3 linked regions of the Macaca fascicularis genome follow. The protein of the gene in region 2 interacts with the protein of the main gene of each other region in a biochemical or structural test. Links are inferred from orthologs where the notes say so. Each region holds a gene or a part of one and is shown on either strand. Other genes may lie near its edges. The genes, in order: GNAQ, RGS4 and GNAO1.

Region 1 (3,646 bases), on a different chromosome or scaffold from region 2:
GTAGGGAGAACTATCTTGAGTTTTAATAAAATGATAACATAATTCCTCATGACCATTTCAAGATGATTAATAAATTCAAAGCTCACATTCAAAAAGGACATGGAGGAGAAAAAGATCTCAGTCTTTGTGATTCTACAAAGAGCTTCGCCTGGAAGACGGTCATTGAGACAATGTCTGAGAAAACATCTTTGCAGTAGTGCTCAGCTATTCGTGAAACAGAAAATCAGAAAAATAAAGACTAAAAGGCAGTGTTTGTATACACACTGATAAACTAAAATATGTTACAAGCATGTCTTAGTGTGTGCTTTGGGCTTTCAGGAGCACTGAAATCATGTACCCATGAAAGGATTACAGCAGAATAGTGGACTCCATGCTGGTGTGTTATCACAGGAAAAATAAGACAGCAAAGGGAATACACAGATGAACAAAGTTCTACCACCCTGGGTATTCTAGCCACTATTTGATAATATATTTCCTTCTTTGAAGGAAAAAAGACATTAATTCCCCAAACAATAGAAAGGCTGAGAATCTAGGCAGAAAAAAAGACCTACATAAAATTATGAAGATTAATATATAAGGTTTTAGAAATATTAAAAAGCAAAAGCAATAATCTAAAATGCTTCCCTTAGCTGCTTTTGTCTGTGGTCTGCAATGCATTTTCCAGTTTCCTGGGATAGAAAGAAAAGCTGTCAGAATCCATTCCTAGGTTTTTCTCACAAATATATACCAAGGGAGGGAGGCACAACAAAGTCTGTTTTGGATTAAAGTTATGAACATTAGACTTCTAAACCAAGAACAAAATGTTTCTGGAGCTTATTTCGTTTTGTCTTACCAAAACCAAAAAATCTGGGGAAACTAGAATTCTGTAGTTCTGAATTTTCTTAATGATTAAGGAAGCTGAGAGGCAATGATATTATCATACATTAGTACAACTGGGGGAAAAAAAGGGATAATGCGACTACATGCCAACATTAAAAAATATTTTTGACAGTACTTCCTAATTATAGACGGTGACAGCTGTGGCTAACATGGATGAAGCAATTAATGAATAGTACTTTTCTCATGATCCCATACTATCATCAGGCTTGACTAGAGGGCTCAGAAAGGAACAACATATAAGTTGACTTTTATCTTATAGAATTACCTAGACTTTCAAAAGATTCACAAGTAATAAGGGAGTCCAAATGAAAAAATGATAGCTTTATTATTTTAATTTGTAACTATTTAAAAGGAGCATAAGGCATCACCATAGGAATCAAAGGAACTGGGGCAATATTTTTAGACGTTCTTAGTACCTGTACATTGAATGTCAAGTTACTGTGGGAACTTAAATTATGACACATGATAATAAAAACTATGCCATTTTATTCTAATTAACATAATATACTTTTATATAAAAATCTAGTCACTATTAGCTATGTCTGATGAAAAATGGAATAAATGATCTGTAATGTTCAGGTAACTGAAGAACCAGATTCAATTCAGTTGAACTGAATTAGTTTATGAGCTGCCAAAGGAATCTACTTTCTTTTCCATTTTGATAATTTTAAAGTGGTAAATTGCTAAGTATTAAATCATGACATATTATTTCTTCATATATATAATACATTTATCTTGTGTAAAATGTGTGTTGATAAACACTTATCCTCCTCTAGCTATAATGTAAACATCAGAAATAAGTTCACATTTGCTTCTTATATCTCTTGTGTAATTGATAAATGCAAATTTTATTTTATTGGATGGCAAATTAAAGAAGAGATATGACAACCTACATAGCAAAGGCTTACCTTTCCCCATATGGCTTATTTTGACCAAAAGCACATCTAGTTTATAAGGTCTTTTAGTGGAGAGTTGATTTTTTTTCTCCATTTTTGTGTCTTTTTAGATACTCTGGTACCCAGCATATAGTAGGGAAGCCCTCAGAATATTTTTTTGTCTTGATACAACATTAAAAAAAATCAGAAGTGTTAGAATAGATCTGCTCCCAAAATATGCAGTACGTTTAAAATACTACATCCAGGAATTATGTAACAACAAACAAGCACAGACATAAAGATGTACAGATAGAGATATCATAGCTAAAATTCTGACAGTAACTGCCTAATACCGTGGTAACTTACTGTCGTATATTGTAGCATGCTTTTAGGCACTTTGCTTTATAGTTATTGGGGGCAACTGATTGATAAAGAAGCCTCATTCTTAAACAGAAGTTATTTGGTTGACTCCAAAGCCGATATACTCGCAACTCAGGAGTGATTCTGAAATGCATCAACAGGTAACTCTCGGTTCTATATGAGACATTGGTTCATGGAAACTTTATCAATCCTATACATAAAAGAAATACTATAGAAGCTTGGATATGTATTTTAATGGAGATATTAATACTGGCAGAAATAATATTTAAAAGAACAAGTCAGGAATTCTTGTGTACCTAAAAAACGTACTGTATTAAAAGCATAATATGCTAGATCCTATTTTAGTCAGCAAATGGGGATCTCTCACTTCATTCTTTTTTTCTACCCTATTATTAGGATATTTAATATTTATTATTAACCTATCACACTGCAAACTCTGCCTCTAACAGGGTATCAATGGTGTCTTCTCTGTTCCCCCAACACACACACACACACACACACACACACACACAAGCACACAACTACAGCTCAGAAGCACGGATTTCTACATCCCTTAATTATCTTCCATAATCAACTGATTCATAGTCAGGTCTTTACCATCCTCAAAATCCACATTTACACCTATTAAGTTTCCCTGTAAATGGGAGGAGATAGCAATACTGAATTCGTTCTCCAGACAGGCATATTAAGGACACTTCTTCAACTGCTCTCTGCTTAATAGAGACAAAATTATGCAGCAGCCTAGAGAATTCTATAAGAGCAGAAAGGCCGCCTCACCAAGACATTCCATGGCTCATAATGAACTGATTTAGAGCCCAGCTGCAAAGTCATTCACATTTGCCAAGAGAGATTTTGAGTACTCTTTGGGACACACCCATCACACAAACAATGATTTAAACAAAATGAAAACAAAACAAAACAGGATGACTCACTCCAACACTCCCAGTTCTATCCTGTAGGAGGAAGACTATAAAATGATCTGATGATTAGCCTAGGATTTCCATGTTATTTTCATTTTTAGAACCTCTGCATAGTGTTAAAAAGTATCAAATAGGCTCTAATTAGATTTGAACACACAGACCTGCTCATACATCTGACAGAAGAGCTTGCCACTTTGAGTGTACCATGTGGTAACAGGATTATTTTTGGTTATTTTAAAAGTCTTAAAATCAAATTTCAAGAAAGCAAAGAAGTCAGTTCACTCCATTCCCCATACCCTACTTCCTATCGTTTACTTGTATCAGATAATAAAATGATAATCCATTGCCTGTCTAAAGAACACTTACCTCATTGTCTGACTCCACGAGAACTTGATCATATTCACTAAGCGCTACTAGAAACATGATAGAGGTGACATTTTCAAAGCAGTGTATCCATTTTCTTCTCTCTGACCTTTGGCCCCCTACATCGACCATTCTGCAAGGTTAACAATACTCATATTAATAACATGTAAAACTAAAAAGTCAACATAAATATAGTACTACTTACAAACTTGGGGAAAATATTCTCTT
Region 2 (4,417 bases):
AGACACCTGTATGTGGACCCAGCTCTGTTAGTGAGAAGCTGTAACCTCAGCAAGCCACTTTCTCTTTCTGGGTCTCTATTTCCTTTTTGATGAAATAAGGGCGTTAGGCTACATTGCCTTTAAAGTCCCATTTTGTCTTTAAAGTCCCATCTATTGCAGTGATTTATATTTAACTCATGACAAATCAGGCTTCTCTTATTCTAAGTCCAAGAGATAAAGCTCTTATTGTGGAATTTCAGGCATCAGTAAACCTTTTCGGGTCCTCACTTATGTTCCTAAAATCAATCTGTTTGAGTGATCACTCTTTTAGGTGTCCATGTAAACAAAGAAGGCTGTGGTCTTTCTTTGAGTGACCTTCTTTCCCTTTTAATTAGTCTGTCCTCTTTAATGTCAGTTCCAACTGATTCCTCTCCCTGGTCCATCTTCCTTGGTCTAAGGGCCTCCCTAATTTCACATTGCACTGCAGTTCCTTCCACACCACCATCAAGAATGGCTGTCAACATTCACTTGTTCTATGTTATAATTCAAGGAAGAGTTGCCCAGTATCTACTCTAATAAATGTCTTTCTATCTTTATGGGCGGCTAGAGGCTTTTTCCTATAATTTAAATGCATCTTCTGTAGATTATGGTCCCTCCACCACCTTACATTTGTCTGCTGTCTCCTTGCTCTGCTAGTCATGGAAGGTGTTGGTAGTGGGAGCAGTGTGGGATGTTCAAGGGCACGTATTGGGTCGGGCCATGTATGGGCATTGCTTTGTGACATTCTTTCTATATTTTTGGTATTTTGCATTTCACTGGAACCTAACTATTTTTCATCTCTTCCACCTAAACCATTTGATGCCTCTGTTTCTTAAATATAAAGTACAGCTCACTGTAGCCTATGATCAGGAACCTATCTGCTCTCAAAATGAAAGCTGTTTTGGTCAGATCTAGCAATTAATTCTCTTCTTCCACTTATAGCTTTCCTCTGTAACTCTGGTGTAGGTATTTGATATATGGCTATAAGATGTGAAACACCTGAATGATTCTCTCCATGCAGGCGTTTCAGTTTATGATATTGTATGTAAAAGATACTAATTGTTCAGGTGTTCAGAAACACCTATAGGGCTTAATATTCTTAATGATTCGTTTTAAGGCTGGTGATACGCAAAGCAAACTACGTATTTTTCTGCCTGCTCTGTCTCTTTCTCTCTACATCCCTCTTTCTTTATCTTTTGAAATATCAGTTTGGAGACTTAGAATTACATAAGACATAAACCCATTGGATATAAGAATTGCTGTGTATATTTGCTCACCTACTCCCTCCTTTGGTCCTCAAGCTGCTGGTTTAGACTTTTTACAGGACACAGGCATGTAAAGGAGAAACTGTCAGTGCTAGGCTGAATTCTGTTGTTACCAAGATTTCTAGAAAAGTATTCCTCAGTCAGGTTGATTACGGATATAGCAAATCTATTTTTCCTAGGGTAGTTTCTCTATGCAGCCGGGCTTATAACTGTCTGTCATCCAGCTATTTCTCTCCACCTTCTTGTTTGCATAACAACCAAGGCAACTTCTGCAAATCACTGCGTGGAGACGATGATCCTGCCAGCTCCCTTTTGGAAATCGTGAGGATCAGATCTTGGACCATGTATCATATGATGCTTCTAATCCAAAAGAGGAAGGGCACTGGGAGTCAGCTCCTAAGTAAGCTTCAGAATTCCTGCTGGTACTTTTCCTTCCAGGAAGCAACTTTCCTTGATATTGTTTTTTACAGAAATATGAATGAATACTATATTTTGCAGCATTGTACACTTTTTTCCTTTTCTAGAAATTCTAAACCTCTGACACTGGTAGAGACATTGAGTACATTTTTTTCCATATCCCTACTTTGCTGAAGGATTTTCTCTGCTCGTTCACTTAGCATTGCTGATGCGTCAGTCTTTTCCTCCTCATCTCTTTCAGGGGCTGGAGAGGCAGAGGGAGACAGAGGAGCTGGTACTGCAGAGCTGTCGTCTGATTGGCTGGACCGTCGTAGCTGGGCTATAAAAGAGACCCCTACAGGCTTAGGAGGAAGACGCTCAGAGGATTCTGAAAATATCTTTACCGGAGAAGAGGCAAAGTACGCTCAAAGCCGAAGCCACAGCTCCTCCTGCCGCATTTCTTTCCTGCTTGCGAATCCCAAGCTGTTAAATAAGATGTGCAAAGGGCTTGCAGGTCTGCCGGCTTCTTGCTTAAGGAGGTAAGATTGCTTTCAGTCATTAACCGTATTAAACTTTTGGATAGACTTTCTCAGTTATTTACATGTTGTACTTACTAACCTAGTTCTGTGCAATTAGAAACAGTGTGGTCAGGAGAGCACGACTTTCTAACTTTCCTCCAAGACTAGCTAGATACTGTGACTTAAGACATGTGCTCCCCAAATTTCAGTCCTTATGTATTGTTTCATGTGACCTCAGTTTTGAGAACTGTTCTTTAAGCCAGGTCTAAGCAAGCTAGTTTTAATTAAGAAGTGAGATGAGGCTTGAGGCTATGTATAGTGGTCTGCAATATCTCCATCTGTGATTACTGCTGTTATTTAAGCATCCCTGGAGTACATAGAAGCCTGGGTCTGGGTTTTCTGATTGTATGCTACATCTTGTTTCAGGAAAGGTACCCCAGAATGAGGTTTGGCTCCATCATCAGAAAGGCACTATGCTTTCTGTGTAGTGCTGCAGTATCTTTCACTCTCTATGTTCTTATAAGCAAATGTTACAATGAGATATGAGTTCCAAAGCCAGATCTTCCTTATCTCTCTGCCCCATCTCTAGTTCTTAAAGTGTCTTATATGAGTGTGGTTGAGAAGTATTGATCATTACAAATCAGTTAACAGTTTTGTAGATCTCACCTTAAAGATATTGTTTTGTTAATATACTCTCTTGATTTTTTAAAAAGACTTTACAGACATACAGCTATTCATTTGTTTTTCGTTTGTTCAAAAAAGGTATAAACAAATGCATTCAGAGAATGATCGTATAGTAGTCAGTTGAAAATTAAACACAAAATGAGTGCATATTACATTACTTAATCTTGCAGTTAAAGGTAAAAAGTCAATCTAAAGGTGTACTACCTGCTTTCTTATCGCGCTGCAAATAGAAATTACCCCAAATTTTATTTTGGAAATAGTCTCAGAAAACATAATTTTTAATGTACTATTAAAACATTTACTTTTCAAATATTCTGTCATTCAGGAGTATGGAAGTATCTATGGCTTCTTTAAAATGAAGCAGGAGGGTCTGGCAGAGAGTATCTATGAAATAAGTTCCTCTGACCTTCACGCTTAATTTTCTGAATGGAGTGGAGCAAATTACTTCAAGCTTCAGTTAACTTACATATGAAATGAACTATACAAAAATACAAGAGTGTCAGGAGAAAGTTATGCCCTGGTAAATATTTTGCAAAACAGATAAAAGTTAATACTAGAGCTCTGTCCTCAAAGAGTTAAGCAGCTAATCTAAGGAGGTAAACTCTATGTCAGCAGAATGAACTGCTCTTCCCTTTCCTCACCAGTAAATTGCAAATCGTCTAGTCCAACATCTTTGCCACCAGTGCCTGAGGCTCCACAGGAGCCATCGCCTGCTCAAGGTCACATAGGTTGGTGGGTGAATTAGGACCAAATCTAGATATCCTGACTCCAATAACTTCTGAAGTCATTTTGGTTTTTATTTTTATGTTTTTTTTTTTTTAAATAAGAATACTTGCTAAGCACACTTAGCCCCTGCATTGATCAACAACTCTCAGATCTCAGGTGGATCCAGCACATAGAAATATGAATTCATTTCTATTTGGACTTCATGATATACTTATATTATCACCTTGGAATCACCCTAACATTCAGGATTATATCCTGTTATCATCAAAAAGGATGTTGCATCCCCTGAGCAGTCATCAGTCAGGGAAGCAGAGGAAGGAAAGTAATCTTGCAAGGAAGAGAAAATACTATTTAAGGGGCAGTCAGAGAACATAATGGAATTCAAACTTTCTGGGAAAACCTACATACATAAATTTATTAGGGGCTATGTTAAATGTCTTTCTATCTTTGAGGCTTTATTTTCCCCACTCCAAATAGACACATTTAGTTATTCATTTCTCTTAAAATGGTATTTCTATTTTTAAATTATTTGTTGGCCTTTTTAATAAAAGAGATGCAAGCAAGAGGATATTTAATAAAAAGTAAGAGAGTTGAGCTTAAGGCTTATTAAAAGACCCCCTTTTTCTAGTTAGTCAGGAGCCCTATTGTGCCAGGCTACCTATTAAATGGTGGCAATAAATGGTGGCAATAAATGGTGGAAGCTCAGTGATGACTCTAGCCTGCTTCTCCTAATAGCTTTTAAGCCTCAAATGCCCTTTAGAGTGTGTATGTCCTTTAAAGTAGCATTAAAAAGGAAAGCAGCAGCAGCAG
Region 3 (4,168 bases), on a different chromosome or scaffold from region 2:
CCCCCCTCGAGAGAAAGGGGTGGCGCGGCTTGCATTTACAGATCTGCAAGGGCTCCAGACAGATGCAACATGCACCTTGTTGCAAAGAGCAATTCCCGAGGCCCCGCCTCCCCATCAATTTGGGTTGCACAAGCTCAAGAGAAGCCCCAAGCTAAATTACCCTTGGCTCAGAAGGGTGCGGCGAGCCGAGGGGGCCTCTGCGAAGAAAGCCCCAGGGAGCTCTCGAACAAAAATAAGAACATGTCAAGCAGATGGGAAAATTGTCTCCGAGTCGCTACTCCCTACCATCATGGCGCCGCCTAGAACCCGCTTGTCATGCCTGTTACACATGCAAGATTTTCTGCATCTTGGTTCTGAAACCGCAAGCGTGCTTCGTCTCCCACTCCCATTCCCACCTTCCCACGAAAGGGGTTTTTATTTTCCATTGTTTCCCTACGCGATGCAATTACTTCGGCTATTCTGTCAAGTTGGAAAATAATCATTTTTGTTTACTGCACAGCAACCCCTAATTAGGAGCTATGTGTGCACGAAGGTGTCACAGCAAAGCGACGTGGAATCTTCGCTAAACGGTCTTAACGAACTCTCCGTCTCGAACTGACAGGCCAACGGAAGTTGGAGGCCCGGAGGGCGCACACCCCTTCGCTGCCGGCCACCCCCTCCCCAAGCAAAGCTGCCTGTGGGCTCACCAGGAACTGCCGAGTGGATAGCGCAAGAAGCGAGCCTGCAAGTGGAAAGGAGGGGCAAGGCTCCTTATTGAGAAAGTGTGCAAGGGAAGGAATATCCCATTTTGTTTTAATTTTCAACCATCACTCAAATCCACCCCCAGTTAATTAGGAGGGGAAACTGATAGCTAAGGCAGAAGGGGGCGGCGGCAAGTGGGGCCTGAAATCCGCATTGTGGGTAGATTACATGGAACACGGCCTATGCAGAGTGTAAAAAAATACATTGATAAAGGCCACGGAGCGAACGAAAACTGCGGGTGTCAGGACAGCAATGCTGGGAGGGTGGGGAGGAGAGGAGCTGGGAGCAGTAAGGGGCGGACATTCAGCCTCACAGGCAGCTTCCCTCCCCCTTCCACCTCTACCTTGGATAAAACTGTGCCCGTCACGTACGCTTGGAAACCCACTTCTTCCCCTAGCACACGACCCCTCCCCTAACCCTGGCCCTCTTTTTCTGGGGCCGGGGCGGGGGGGTGCGAGGGTATGTAGAAACCACAGCCTCCAATTCAGCACCAAATGCATGAACAGCAGACGCTTGATCCTCCACCCTAGTCTAGGGCTGGGTCCCCTCCATGTTAGCCAAGTTCAAAATCACTGCCCCAGGAGAAGAGCAGGGGAAGTGGGATTACGGACCTCGGGGGATACGGAGGTATGGAGGGAAGAGGAGAGACAAATAGAGACAGAATGAAACAGAGACACAGAAATGGAGGCAGGGAGACACAAAAAATATTCCACAAGCAAGAGTAATGATCATAATCATGCCAATAATGTGATGTTCTGATCAATATGGCGGACACTGTCATTCATACAACTACAGGCGCTCCCCTTCCCCCTCCCAAAAAACACCCACCCAGGAGTTGGGGTGGAGGACCCAGAACCAACGTAGGGAGTGGGGGAGGGGAGTCAAATATAGGGGTGTGTGTGTGTATGTGTGTGTGTGCACGAATTAAAAAACAGGCCTGGAGAGCAATGTGGAGTAAGCAAGGTAATAAAAACGATTTTAAAAATTACTCTTATTAAAAGTACAAATCCCAGTGCCACAGGGACTTACTTCATCTGCTTCACAATGGTGCTTTTTCCTGATTCTCCAGCCCCTGTTGGGACACAGACAGTGGGGAAAAACTGGTGAGTGTCAGCTTAAGGGAACAGGGGGAGGGGGGACTAAGGCATGCGAGGGGGTGGGCGATCCTGGGCACATGGTGGTGCCAACTTGGGGACCAGGTCTCCCGGGCGCGGGTGAGGTGGGGGAGCTGGCGGCAGGGGGTGCGGAGTGGCCGGGGTCGGGGGATGGGGGTAGCAGCGGCGGTCCTTACCCAGCAGGAGTAATTTCACGTCTTTGGCGGCGCTGATGCCATCCTCTTTGAGGTTTTTCTCAATCGCCTTGCTCCGCTCGAGGGCGGCTCTCTCCTCTGCGCTCAGAGTACATCCCATGGTGGCCCCTTCCCTGCCACAGCCCGCACGACTCGGCTGGCACGGCTCCCCGGCTCGGAGCGCCCCCCACCCCCCCAGAGAGCAGAGCCTGGGCTCAAGGGGGGAAAATCACGATATCCTCTCCTGGGCTGGAAACAAAAATGTCGGGAAACCAGAACCCCCCAAAAAGCCAGCCGCTAACAAGATTCCAGCAGCGGAGACTCGCGGCAGCTGGCGGGGGTCTGGGGTTGTCGAACCGAGTGTGGCCGGGGTCTGGGGCTCCGCAGCCGAGGGAGGAGGCGCCCGCGGGCCGAGGAGGCGCGGGCTGCAGGCACTGAGGCTTGTGCACGACCCAAAATAAATAAAATAATAGTCGAGGCTGGAGCCGCAGCCGGAGCCGACGGAGGGTGGGGTGGGGGGCAGGGTGGGTCCTGCTGCCGCGGCTGCCGGAGGAGGAGGAGGCGGCGGCGGAGGAGGAGGAGGTGGAGGAGGCGGCGGCGGCGGCGCGGGATGTGGAGGGAGTGAGTTAGGGGGTGCTGCTAGTGCATGTGCATCGCCGCTCTTCAGCCGTCGGTGCGTCCGCGGCGCCTTCGCCGACCCCCGCGCGCAGGGCAGGGCTGGGCAGGGGGCCGGGCCGGGGGGCAGGTCTCTAGCGGGAGGCGGCGTCGCTGTCTCCCAGAGCTCGCATCGCTCGGTGAGCCTACCGGAGAGAGAGGGAGAGCGCCAGGGAGCCGCGACCAGCCGGGAGCTCGAGGGAGAGGGAGAGAGAGAGAGGCAGGGAGGGAGGGGAAAAAAATGGGAGAGCGAACGAGCGCGCGCGCGCCAGGGACCGGGCGGGGAGAGGAGGCGAGTGCAGCGCGCGAGTGCGCCAGCGGCTCTGCGCACCCGGCTCCGCGGGCCGCCCGCTGACGTCAGCAGGGCCGCGCGCCGGGCCCCCGGGACGGGAAAGGCGCGGGGCGGGGGAGGCGCGCGCCGGGGTTCGCGTCAGCCGTCGGCGGCGCGCACACGCGCTCGCGGAGCGGCCTGCCCCTCCCCACAGAGCCCTCCCAGCCAGCGGCTCCCCCGGGTGGGCGCGTGCGGGGCTGGCGGGGGCGGGGCGTGGGGCCGGGCGCGCGCCGGGGCCCACCCCGCCTCCGCCCCCGCCCCCGCCCCAAGCGCCGGCGGCGCGGACCTCCTTGTCAATGGGAGCGCGGGACCGGGCTGCCGGCACGGCGGTCAGGTGGGCCCCCCAGCTCGCTGCCAGCGCGGCCTCTGTCCCTCTCCGGCCGGCTCTCCATCTTGTCGCCCGCAGCCCGCCTTGTCAGTGGCTCTGCAGCCGCTGGGGCCGCAGAGCCGAGGCCGGGTTACCTCAGGAAACGCGATGTGGTAGTGGGTCGGAATAAACCCTCCCGCCCCAGAATTCGCCTTGGGGGCATGAGGACAGATTCGGCCTTTTCGCTTCCTGTGTCCACATTTATTGAGCACTTAGTATGTGGGAGCCGAGGCTGTAAGGAGAGGAACGGAGCGGGCGGAGAAAAGCCAGGGCCTTTTCTCCGGGAGCCGCTGCCTCCAGGGCCATCGCCGACCCTGCTCCGAGATCCCAGCCGCCGCTCTCCGTGCAGGAGGGGTGCCCACCCTTGGGGAGGCCTGGGTGCCCTGAGCGGAGGGACAGGGCTTCAAGCGACTGGGAGTTTCCAGCAAACCCCTGATCCCTGAGCAGTTTATTTTAAAAGCTTTTGCAAATGTTGGACGGTTTAGCTTGGTGGAGGCCGTCTTTGCACTAAATTCTCTTGTCCTCCCCCTTCGAAACACACAAAATGAATTTTGAATAGACTCTTGGATGAGAGATTTTCTTCCTTTTTTCATCTTCTGAAACATTTTCCCCTCATTTCTTCTAAAAAAACCCAGAAACCCGGGTCAGTTACTCGGTGTACAGCTAGTCAAATACTGAGAAAACCAGTCGATATTTGCCAAAGATTGGGCATGTTCTGGGTGGTCTCAGATTTTGAAGAAACAAATTTTTTACTGCACAAAATAGTTTTACAATCAGTTCCATCAGA

What was found.
Region 1: the proteins of RGS4 (region 2) and GNAQ form a complex in vitro, tested with the Homo sapiens proteins (3 studies listed by BioGRID). The link is inferred for Macaca fascicularis from reciprocal best matches to the Homo sapiens genes RGS4 and GNAQ.
Region 3: the proteins of RGS4 (region 2) and GNAO1 form a complex in vitro, tested with the Homo sapiens proteins (2 studies listed by BioGRID). The link is inferred for Macaca fascicularis from reciprocal best matches to the Homo sapiens genes RGS4 and GNAO1.

Annotation. Positions count from the first base shown.
Region 1 is NC_088389.1:108,438,538-108,442,183, forward strand, and holds part of GNAQ (guanine nucleotide-binding protein G(q) subunit alpha), read right to left. Parts: intron 3,552-3,646; coding exon 3,422-3,551; intron 1-3,421.
Region 2 is NC_088375.1:20,915,523-20,919,939, forward strand, and holds the start of RGS4 (regulator of G-protein signaling 4), read left to right. Parts: upstream 1-1,561; 5' UTR 1,562-1,625; coding exon 1,626-1,683; intron 1,684-1,941; coding exon 1,942-2,218; intron 2,219-4,417. UniProt on the Homo sapiens protein: Inhibits signal transduction by increasing the GTPase activity of G protein alpha subunits thereby driving them into their inactive GDP-bound form. Activity on G(z)-alpha is inhibited by phosphorylation of the G-protein.
Region 3 is NC_088394.1:52,257,363-52,261,530, reverse strand, and holds the start of GNAO1 (guanine nucleotide-binding protein G(o) subunit alpha), read right to left. Parts: upstream 2,898-4,168; 5' UTR 2,151-2,897; coding exon 2,033-2,150; intron 1,845-2,032; exon of another isoform or gene 1,814-1,844; coding exon 1,771-1,813; exon of another isoform or gene 1,657-1,770; intron 1-1,656. UniProt on the Homo sapiens protein: Guanine nucleotide-binding proteins (G proteins) function as transducers downstream of G protein-coupled receptors (GPCRs) in numerous signaling cascades.